Linked DNA regions of Macaca mulatta. The protein of the gene in region 1 binds, or shares a complex with, the protein of each later gene. Links are inferred from orthologs where the notes say so. Each region holds a gene or a part of one and is shown on either strand. Other genes may lie near its edges. The genes, in order: TIMM23, TIMM17B and TIMM17A.

Evidence for each region.
Region 2: TIMM23 (region 1) and TIMM17B share a complex: the UniProt entries of both Homo sapiens proteins name them as parts of the TIM23 complex. The link is inferred for Macaca mulatta from reciprocal best matches to the Homo sapiens genes TIMM23 and TIMM17B.
Region 3: TIMM23 (region 1) and TIMM17A share a complex: the UniProt entries of both Homo sapiens proteins name them as parts of the TIM23 complex. The link is inferred for Macaca mulatta from reciprocal best matches to the Homo sapiens genes TIMM23 and TIMM17A.

The regions. Positions count from the first base shown.
Region 1 is NC_133414.1:59,221,907-59,226,232, forward strand, and holds the start of TIMM23 (mitochondrial import inner membrane translocase subunit Tim23), read right to left. Parts: upstream 2,914-4,326; 5' UTR 2,791-2,913; coding exon 2,685-2,790; intron 2,668-2,684; exon of another isoform or gene 2,510-2,667; intron 1-2,509. Other genes in the region: PARG (poly(ADP-ribose) glycohydrolase), read left to right, coding at 3,262-3,478. UniProt on the Homo sapiens protein: Essential component of the TIM23 complex, a complex that mediates the translocation of transit peptide-containing proteins across the mitochondrial inner membrane.
Region 2 is NC_133426.1:48,966,515-48,968,720, reverse strand, and holds the end of TIMM17B (mitochondrial import inner membrane translocase subunit Tim17-B), read left to right. Parts: intron 1-12; coding exon 13-76; intron 77-879; coding exon 880-1,008; intron 1,009-1,093; coding exon 1,094-1,204; intron 1,205-1,286; coding exon 1,287-1,375; 3' UTR 1,376-1,655; downstream 1,656-2,206. UniProt on the Homo sapiens protein: Essential component of the TIM23 complex, a complex that mediates the translocation of transit peptide-containing proteins across the mitochondrial inner membrane.
Region 3 is NC_133406.1:59,621,472-59,625,125, forward strand, and holds part of TIMM17A (mitochondrial import inner membrane translocase subunit Tim17-A), read left to right. Parts: intron 1-1,740; coding exon 1,741-1,869; intron 1,870-3,227; coding exon 3,228-3,338; intron 3,339-3,654. UniProt on the Homo sapiens protein: Essential component of the TIM23 complex, a complex that mediates the translocation of transit peptide-containing proteins across the mitochondrial inner membrane.

The DNA.
Region 1 (4,326 bases):
ACAACATTCTTTAAGTTAATTCGGTTAGAGTTAATCCAGCTCCTGATTGTTACATGTGTTTGCAATTTTTATAGGCTCACTGAAGGCGAAAATTTTTTCCCATTTTATCCTCCCTGTCAGTTTGGGGGCTGACTCAGGATATCCTCAGACCCTCAATCCCAAACCAGGTTTTCCACTGGTGGCTCAGGCTTTTACACCAGGTAAGATATTTGCAGTGTCATAGATCAGATTACTGAACTTACAGGAAGTGTAGCCTAGGCCATTTATAGTTAATTTCTTTCAATTTACTAGAAGAATGCTTGGTGACTATGTAAATTGCAAAATAAGACTGAGAAAAGACTAATCAATTCCATGGGGAAAAGAGTGGTTGGGTTGGGTTTTCTGCCTATGTACATGTTGTATGTAAGTATTTCAAGGCAGTTCCTTCACATATTACTATTAAGGATTGATTTACTGTGGCAAGGGTGAGAATCCTTGGGTCATTACCATAGGTATGTGGGTCTGTGCAAAAGAAAATACAAACTTTCAGAGGGCCAGACCTGAATTCACTAACACTGAAAACAGTAAAACCTATCAATCTTTGGATTCTTCTGTATTTCAGCAGTTAATTCACAAATATATGTATCACCTATGCCTCTGATCTTTTCATCAATTATAAGTCCTGTTTATTCTATTTTCATCACCTATTTTGAATTGTTACTTATCTCTATTGCTACCAGCCTAGTCCAACCATCATATCTCACAGCAACAACTTCCTACCTAACTCCTTGCTTTCTCTTGCCCCTTCAACTCACAGTCTACATAGCAACTACAGTGATTTTTCTTAAGAAAATCCAAACTCCTTACCATAACCTACAAAACCCTACATTAGCTGTCATTCCCTACCTCTCTGATTTCACAATCGTCAGCTGATTCAACTCCCTTGTAACTATGAAGACAGAGTGGCCTAAGAGTTGTTCCTTAAACATACCAAATTTGTTTTGTTTCAGGACATTTGCACTAGCTAATTTCCTGGATACTTGCCTCCCAAGCATTTGTACTATATTTGGGTCACAGCTCAAATGTCAACTCCCTTAAGACGTTTTCCCTAACCCGTTCTAAAATGGCATCCTGCTTCCATCACAATCTCATGACTCTGCTTTATTCCCGTTTACAGCCCTTACCACTAACTGTAATGTTTTAATTTATGTTTGTTGGCTTACCTCAGTATTATGTAAGCTCTGTGAGTGCAAGAGTCTTTTCAAAACAAAACAAAACAAAAAAACACAAAAAAACCACTATAGTCCTGCCCCCAGAAAACTAGCTAGCACATTGTAAAAGTTTAGTAAATGGTGTTCATTCCCTGGTCCCTCAATTTACCTTCAAATCTTAATCATATTAAGGTAACAATATTGTCACATTAAGGAAGCGTATGCCATTTGTGCTCTGAAACTCAGAGATATTAAGATTAATATGAAACTGTGTTCTAAACAGGTAGAGTGGTAGCTCAGGCCTAGGAACCCCAGCACTTTGGGAGGCCGAGACAGGAGAATGGCTTGAGCTCAAGAGTCTGAGACCAGCCTGGGTAACACAGGGAGATCCCATTTCCATAATAAGTTAAAAAAAAAAAAAAAATTAGCCAGGCGTGGCGGCACGTGTCTAGAGTCCCAGCTACTTAGGAGGCTTAAAGGGGAGGATTGTTTCAGCTCAGACGTGCGAGGCTTCAGTGAACTATAATCATGCCACAGCACCCCAGCATGGGTGACAGAACGAGGTCCTGACTCTAAAAACAGAAAAAAACAACAGAACAGAACAGAACACCTTGTGTTGTAGATTCCGTTTTTTGACAAAGGTGACACCAGGGATATGAAAGGTCTTTTCTTTTATATTTTTTTTGCGCTAGTCAGTCTGAACATATTTTGTTGTTGCTGTCCTTTAATATAAAACACCTAGAAAAATATTACAAGGATTCTCTAAAAAGAAAGTACTTTCGTAAAGGCTTTATCCACGACCAACTGCCTATCTTTAGGTCCAAGTTCTATTTATCCAGTTGAATAACCACAGTTACAAAGTACCAAAGTTCTGGAATACATATTCGCAAGACTGAGGAGAGGCAAAGGCAAGGAATTTATGCCTCTGTATCCTTTATGTTGTTGCTTATTTCCTTTCCTATAATTCTTACGTGGCATATATATCACCTTTAAAGTTCAGCTTACTTCCTAGCTCCTAGAAATGGTTTCCCAGCCTGTCCCAAGTCATACTTATTTCTCACTTACATGCAATACTACTGAATGTTCTGCCCTAACGGCTACTTGGGGGTTCAGAATACGTCGCTGTGTACTAAAAAGTTAACTACGGCTTGCTATTTGGAATACATTTACTCCCAAAGCTGGGCTCTACTCTTAATCAAGGGCCAATCACACGGCCCACCACACAAAAGACACGAGGCTTGGATATAAACCTAAGAAAACATGCATCATCTCGCGAGTCCAGGTCAATCACGGACAGCTTCTCCGGGAGATCCGTGGCCCTTTTTAAGGCCTTTCGATATTGAAAGAGCAGCCATGCAGACACACTAACCCCACCACTAGTGCTGAAGCTTGTAAATGCCAGAAAGGAAAAAAAACATAAAACATGGGACGCGCAACTTTAGTGAAGACGCAAGAACCAGTCAGAAATAATCGCAAGGTAGGCCCCATACTTACGCGGGACGCCAGCCAAATCCGCGTGCGAGTAACCTGCTCCGCCGGCTCCGAAAAAGCCGGCCAATCCCCCTGTGGTTTTGTTGCCGCTTCCCCCGCCTCCTTCCATGGTATCTCAGCAAACCGAGTGGTTCCCGCCGCTGTCTCGAGTCTGGGTGGTCCGCTGGGCCGTTGCTCCTCAATAACAGCGGGTAACCCCCGCGTTGCTAGCGCCTCCTTCACACGCTGACCTTCCGGGCGCCGGTTCCCCCTAAGCGCCGCGCTTCCGCTTTGCGGCAGTGTGCGCCCCGGAAGCCGGAAGCGCCTGACGGCAGCTTTCCGGTGGTGGGAAAGGGAACGAATCACGAATCAAAGCGGCGCATTCTGAGGCAGGTGGGGTGCCAGTGGAAGAGGGACTGCAGGAGACTGTTTACGGCCTGACTTTGGAGGCCCGCGGTCAGCAACTGCAGAAGCAGGAAGCAGCGGAGAGGGAATGGTGCGGGGAGGCGCGGAGAAGGAGGTGCAGTCCATCCCTCTCACGGTTAGTGAATGAGGCTCTCCGCCCGGGCCGGCCCGGGGACAGTGCGCTGCGGGTCCCAGCATGAATGCGGGCCCCGGCTGTGAACCCTGCACCAAGCGACCCCGCTGGGGCGCCGCTCCAACTTCGCCGGCTGCTTCGGACGCCCGGAGCTTTCCCAGCAGGCAGAGGCGCGTCCTCGACCCCAAGGACGCTCACGTGCAGTTCAGGGTCCCACCGTCCTCGCCAGCCTGCGTCCCAGGGCGGGCGGGACAGCACAGAGGCAGCGCCACCTCGCTTGGTACGTGGGAAAATAAAAATATTTGTTCTTCGCCTCGGCCGGAACCTTCTGGTCTCAGTCTGAGGACCCAGGGGCTCCAGTCACTCCTTTCTGGTCTTGTGTGCATTATCATGCTGAGGTCCACTTGCTGAGCTACCAAAGCCACTAGTGGGTGAATGGGGCCGCATTTTTCCCAGTGCTATTGTTGTGAGAAACTGATGAGCAGTCACTCACAGGGCGGAAAATGGCAGGAGACTCCACCACCTGTTTGCTTCTTCAGGTTTGATTGAGAAATTGCCTTAGTCGTCAAGGAGATGTAGTTGTGTATGTGAAACAGTAGGGCCCTTTGGCCTCTAGATAGGAAGAAAACAACTTCACTTGTTCAGATTCTGGGTCCCAGGGTGCAGAGCTGTTAGTCTAAGCTGGCATTGTACCCGTCCCTGGCATGCAGTGTTGAACAAGAGAAGCTTGGCCTCTGCCTTCATACCTTAAAATCTATCTGGAGAGAGAGACAATAGCAAAAGTTAGTATAATAAAAGGTAATGGATGTTCTGATACATGAAGGACAGATTGTTCTACCTAACCTAATTTATGGGATCGAAAATAGTCCTCCAGAAGATGAGATGCTTATTCTGAGGAGTTTAGAATGAGTAGAAGTTAGATGAGGAGGAAGTGAGTGAGTGTTTCAGGAGTGCAATTGAGGCCGGGCGCGGTGGTTTACGCCTGTAATCCCTGCACTTTGGGAGACGGGGGTTGGTGGATCACCTGAGGTCAGGAGCTCAAGACCAGCCTTACCAGTGTGGTGAAACCCCGTCTCTACTAAAAATCAAAAAAAATTAGCCGAGCGTGGTGGCGGGCGGCTGTAATCC
Region 2 (2,206 bases), on another chromosome or scaffold:
TCCTTTCCCCAGGGAATTCGGCACCGGTTGAGAGGTAGTACCAACGCTGTGAGGATCCGAGCCCCCCAGATTGGAGGTGAGGGACTTGGGGAGATAGATATAGGAGATGTCTTGGCAAAGGTGGGAGTGGTTGATCCTTTGGGTCTAGGCTGCAAGTTGGGGGTTCAGATTCTAGCCCCTGCGGGAGACTTTCCAGAGGGGTGATGTTTCCCAACAATTGAATATGGAGGGGAAGAAAGTGGGTTCTGGAATTTGAATCTAGGTCCTGACTATTCCCTGCCGTGGGACCTTGGGCTAGTGGCTTAACCTCTCTGAACCTCACCCGTACCAGGGGTGGTGATAACAGTAACCACTTCATTGGTAGTTTTAAAGTTTATGTAATTTATATACTACTAAGTGCTGGTTGCTATGCTAAACACTTTAATAACATTAACTAATATAAAATTGCAAAAGTCAAATAACACAGTACCTCAAACAGGTCCTGGCACACAGTAAGCCCTCAGTAAACATTTTAACTATCATATTAACTGGGTTTCCTATTTCCTTCTCACTGAAACCCAAATCAGAATTCCAACTCTGTGGTGATTATGAAGCTCAAAGTTGCTCTGTTAAAAGCCATATGAAGGTAAATCTGCTTGTAAACATTTGTCAGCTCCCCATAAAGGTGAAGGGAACGTTGATGGTGATCACAGACAGCTTGAAGTGGGAGCTACCACAGGATGGGGACAGATAGAAAATACTCTATGGGGGGTTGCTATCTGCCTTTGTGTCTGGGTTTTTCTCCCTGTTCTTGGCCAAAGCATTCAGGCCTTGGAAGTCCCCTGAGATGTGAATTCTCGGGATTTCCTACGAACTAATTAGGCCTCGGTTCCACTACAGGTAGCTTCGCAGTGTGGGGGGGCCTGTTCTCCACCATCGACTGTGGCCTGGTGCGGCTTCGGGGCAAGGAGGATCCCTGGAACTCTATCACCAGTGGAGCGTTGACCGGGGCTGTACTGGCTGCCCGCAGTGAGTACCCCCGGCCCTGGCCCCAGCCCCTTCCACCCTGTTCTGCCTGCCCTCACCTCTGTTTCTCTGCCTCCAACTCCCCCAGGTGGCCCACTGGCCATGGTGGGCTCAGCGATGATGGGGGGCATCCTGTTGGCCCTCATTGAGGGCGTTGGCATCCTCCTCACTCGCTACACGGCCCAGCAGTTCCGAAATGGTGAGTAACTCGTGGTCGGGGGAGTGGGAAATCCTCCACCTGGCCTCTTCCACTCATCCTTACCCGAGTCTCCCTTCTCCAGCGCCCCCATTCCTGGAGGACCCCAGCCAGCTGCCCCCTAAGGACGGCACCCCAGCCCCAGGCTATCCCAGCTATCAGCAGTACCACTGAGGAAGCCACTGCCACCATGGGAGCTGCTTCTCGGTTCCCTCCCCGATGATCTACCTCGAAGGGAGGGCTGGCTCCCAGTTAGCCCTGGGACCCTCCAGAGAGGGCTTCTACTCTGCTCCCTAGTCCCAGGGTGGGGGTGGGGCACCCCAGCTGCCCTGAAAGATGGGTCCCCTTTTTCTCTCTCAGGGCACCCCAGCCCCACACTCACATGTACGAAGTTCTCACCCCAGCTCCTTTGTGTGGCACCCTGATGAGTATTTAAAGTCTGTTTTGAAATGCCTATGTGTGGACTCCTTGAATTGCCTATGGGGCCCCTCCTTAGGACAAGGGGCAGAGCCTGCTTCAGGGACTTGGAAGCCCTAGGACTTGGAGGCCTACAGCAGATGGGCTCTAGTAAATGTCTGTGGGCTGGATGAGCAGGAAGGGAGAATGAAGATGTGAATTAGCGACATGAATAAGGTTGTCTGGGGCTGGGTGATGGGTCCTAGCTGTCAGAGGAACAAGCTTGGGAAAGAAGTGAATAAACACCAGGATTGCTGGGGGCGGGGGTGGTTCTAGACATTGTACCCCTGACCCCATCCCCCTACACACACCCCAATACCCCTGACCCCTGCTCCACAGCCCCTGTCGCCGAGGCTGGGAAATGTGGCCTCACAGGAGTCCCTTCTTTCTGGACACTCAGCACAGCATTTGTGAAGGTGATTTCCCTCCCTCCATGTGGCCTCAGGGTAGATCTGGGATGGAAGAAGAGGGCCAGGAGACCTAGCTCCCTCAAAGAAGGTGCCCTGGATCAGCCTCCCCTTCTGCCATAGAACTGCTTTTCTGCTCTCC
Region 3 (3,654 bases), on another chromosome or scaffold:
TCTCCATTCTCATCAGTAGCCAAAACTTATTCTGGCAATGATTTTCAGGGGAAGGCTCTCCTGAGATTTTAGGCTCTCGTGAGGAAATGGGAGGGTCTTGCCAGAAAATTTTAGTGAGGTAATTCTAATACACCTAGACATCATAGCTGTCTCCCAGGGCATAGAACTACTGAGAAGAAATAACTGGTTTATTTTTACATAGGATGTGATATCTAATATTGGACTAAAAATGAGGACGCTTATGCTGTACTCCACTGGTACTATCCACTAGATTTAATTGATAATGTGAGAATTGGAAAAAGATCCTGGAGATGCTCTGGTTCAGACATTTGGTGGAACTCCATTTATTGCTCTTGTTAACACAAGTTACCTCCTACCCTAAGATTTCAAAGGGTAAAGATTAAAGTGACTGCTTTGTGCAGCTTTTCTTCTTTCTTTCTTTTCTTTTTTTGGCTAATCAAGTGGAGCAGTGAAAATGGAGACAACAAAGAAAGGGCCAGCCACTTTTTTCTTTAATCCTATTAAATATAATAACTTTATATGATGCAAGTCTTACGTATTCATTTTAGAAGACTTGGAAAATATAGAAAAACACAAAGGAATGAAATCATGTCACGTCATCCAGAAATGCTGACAATTAAAACCTTAGTGTTGTCTTTTTAGATTTTGTTTGTACTTGTATATGTATGTATGTGTGTGGGTCTTTGTTTATTTTGCGATACTGTTTTTGTATTTAGATAGAGTTTAAGTGCAAAGTAATCTGCTGATTTAAGGTTGTTTTAAATTCATATCTGAGGAATAAAGGATAGAAAGGCAATTTCCATCCCTTTGATGTTCCATAATTCTAGCTATTTATATCATTCATTTGCCCCTTCAGCATGTATTGGCTTAAACCTGTAATACATTCCAGAATAGCTGGATTTCTTTTGTTTTCCCATCGATAATTTTCATAGAGTAGATGCTCGATGACATATAATGAAGAAAGGCCAAAAATAGAGGTAAGTGAAGCTATGAAAGAAAAGGAGAAGGAAAGAGGAAGCAGAGTAGTTTGATTTTGTTTATTGCTACTTAAACCAGAGAGATAGGTTGTTCTGGAAAGGTGATTTGCTTGTTTTTACACATACGCAACCTGACTCTTTTAGGTATATTTTCTAATATACCTAGACATCATAGCTGTCTCCCAGGGCATAGAACTTGGCTTATTTCTTTTTTGTTTGTTTGAGATGGAGTGTCGCTCTTGTTGCCCAAGCTGGAGTGCAGTGGCATGATCTTGGCTCACTGCAACCTCTGCCTCCCGGGTTCAAGCGATTCTCCTGCCTCAGCCTCCCCAGTAGCTGGGATTACAGGTGCCCGCCACCACACCCGGCTAATTTTTATATTTTTAGTAGAGACGGGGTTTTGCCATGTTAGCCAGGCTGGTCTTGAACTCCTGGCCTAAGATGATCCACCCACTTCAGCTTCCCAAAGTGCTGGAATTACAGATGTGAGCCATGGCGCCTGGCTGGCTTATTTCTTTTAGGCTTTGGGCCATTGCTAATTTTCCAGCTGATACAATACAATCCAGCTTTATTCAAAAGATAAGTATTCTGACTCTTGTTCAGTGTTCATTCAAACTTGTGTTTGCATGTATTGGACTATAAGAGTTTTGAGAATATAGTGAGTGTTGTTTTTGACTTCATACTTTAAATGGAAGATGAAATTTAAATTAGTATTTGCTTGTTTCTTTTTACAATACAATAGGTAGCTTTGCAGTTTGGGGAGGCCTGTTTTCCATGATTGACTGTAGCATGGTTCAAGTCAGAGGAAAGGAAGATCCCTGGAACTCCATCACAAGTGGTGCCTTAACGGGAGCCATACTGGCAGCAAGAAGTAAGTAGTCATTATAGAAGTCACACTTTTTGGAAAACCTCATCTGCCTTAATTGAATGACATCTGTAATATATAAAACTGATTATTGACCAGGCACATTGGCTCATGACTGTAATTCCATCGCTTTGGGAGGCTGAGGCAGGTAGATTGCATGAGCCCAAGAGCTTGAGATCAGCCTGGGCAATATAGGAAGACCTGGTCTCTACAAAAAAAAAATGTAATTAGCTGGGTGTGTTGGTGCATGCCTATAGTCCCAGCTACTCATGAGGCTGAGGCAGGAGGATCCCTTGAGCCACCACACTCTATCCTGGGCAACAGAGCGAGACCCTGCTTCAAAAATAATAATAATTATAAAAAACGAGCATTGCTTAATTTGGCATAGCATAAATATACAGTATATGGTGATTTGAAAAAAAAAGTAAGGGGATCTCTTTATTTGGAATATTTAAGAATGAGAGAGCATGGAATTCTAACCCATATATTACAGTGGTTGAGAGCACTTCAGGTCCCAGTTCTGCCATTAATTAGCTGTATGACTGGTCAGTTTACCAAACTTTATGCTATAATTTCTTCACCAGTAATCTGGAGTTAGTTAATAATTATACCTGCCATATAGAATTGTTATGAATAAGGAAGTTAGAACCATCTTCTGGATCCTCAGGACAGAGAGCAAACCAGAATTCCTTTGAGCTTAGTGGTTTAGACCAAGGGGTTTGCGAACTATTTCTGTAAAAGGCCAGATAGTGAATATTTTAGGCTTTGCGGGTTATGTGGTCTTTGTCATAGCTACCTAACTCTGCTGTCATAGCATGAAAGCAGCCATGGATAATACATAAACGAAACAGTTTGGCTGTGTTTCAGTAAAACTTTATTTTTTTTCTTGAGACGGAGTCTCACTTTCACCCAGGCTGGAGTTCAGTGGCACAACCTTGGCTCACTGCAACATCCGCCTCCCGGGTTCAGGCAATTCTCCTGCCTCAGCCTCCTGAGAAGCTGGGACTACAGGTGCCCACCACCACTTCCGGCTAATTTTTGTATTTTTAGTAGAGACGGGGTTTCACCATGTTGGCCAGGCTAGTCTCAAACTCCTGACCTCATGATCTGCCCGCCTTGGCCTCCCAAAGTGCTGGGATTACAGGCATGAGCCACCACACCCGGCCTTTCAGTAAAACTTTATTTACAAAAACAGGCAGCGGGTGGCCTGTGGGCGGCCGTAGTTTACTGATTTTGGGTCTTAGGCAGTAAGAGTTTGGGAATTGGAGGAGCCTGTAGCCATATGGACAGTTCTCTTCTTTACTATCTCTTACAGTAAACTAGATTTCTGTAAAAAATAATCTCTTTGTTATTAATGTCTTCAGATGGACCAGTGGCCATGGTTGGGTCAGCTGCAATGGGTGGCATTCTCCTAGCTTTAATTGAAGGAGCTGGTATCTTGTTGACAAGATTTGCCTCTGCACAGTTTCCCAATGGTGAGTCTTCTTTTTGCTTAAAACTATAGCTCAGACGTTTTGGAATGGTTTTCTGATGTTAAGAAAGAACATACTTTGCCTGCTAAAATGTGTGGTATGTATTAATATGCTGTGGTTCATGAGGACTGTGATAATAGGTAAAAAATGAACATGTTACATTTAGTCACAATAACAAAAATTTTTTGTATAAATTTGCTGTTGATCTTTCTTTATAGTACTTAGGGTTTATCAGTGCTCATGTATTGCAATAAATGTCTGATCATTTTAAAGGGACTTGAAGAATGGATCTGCAGATGTGTAGCAATGATGATGGTCA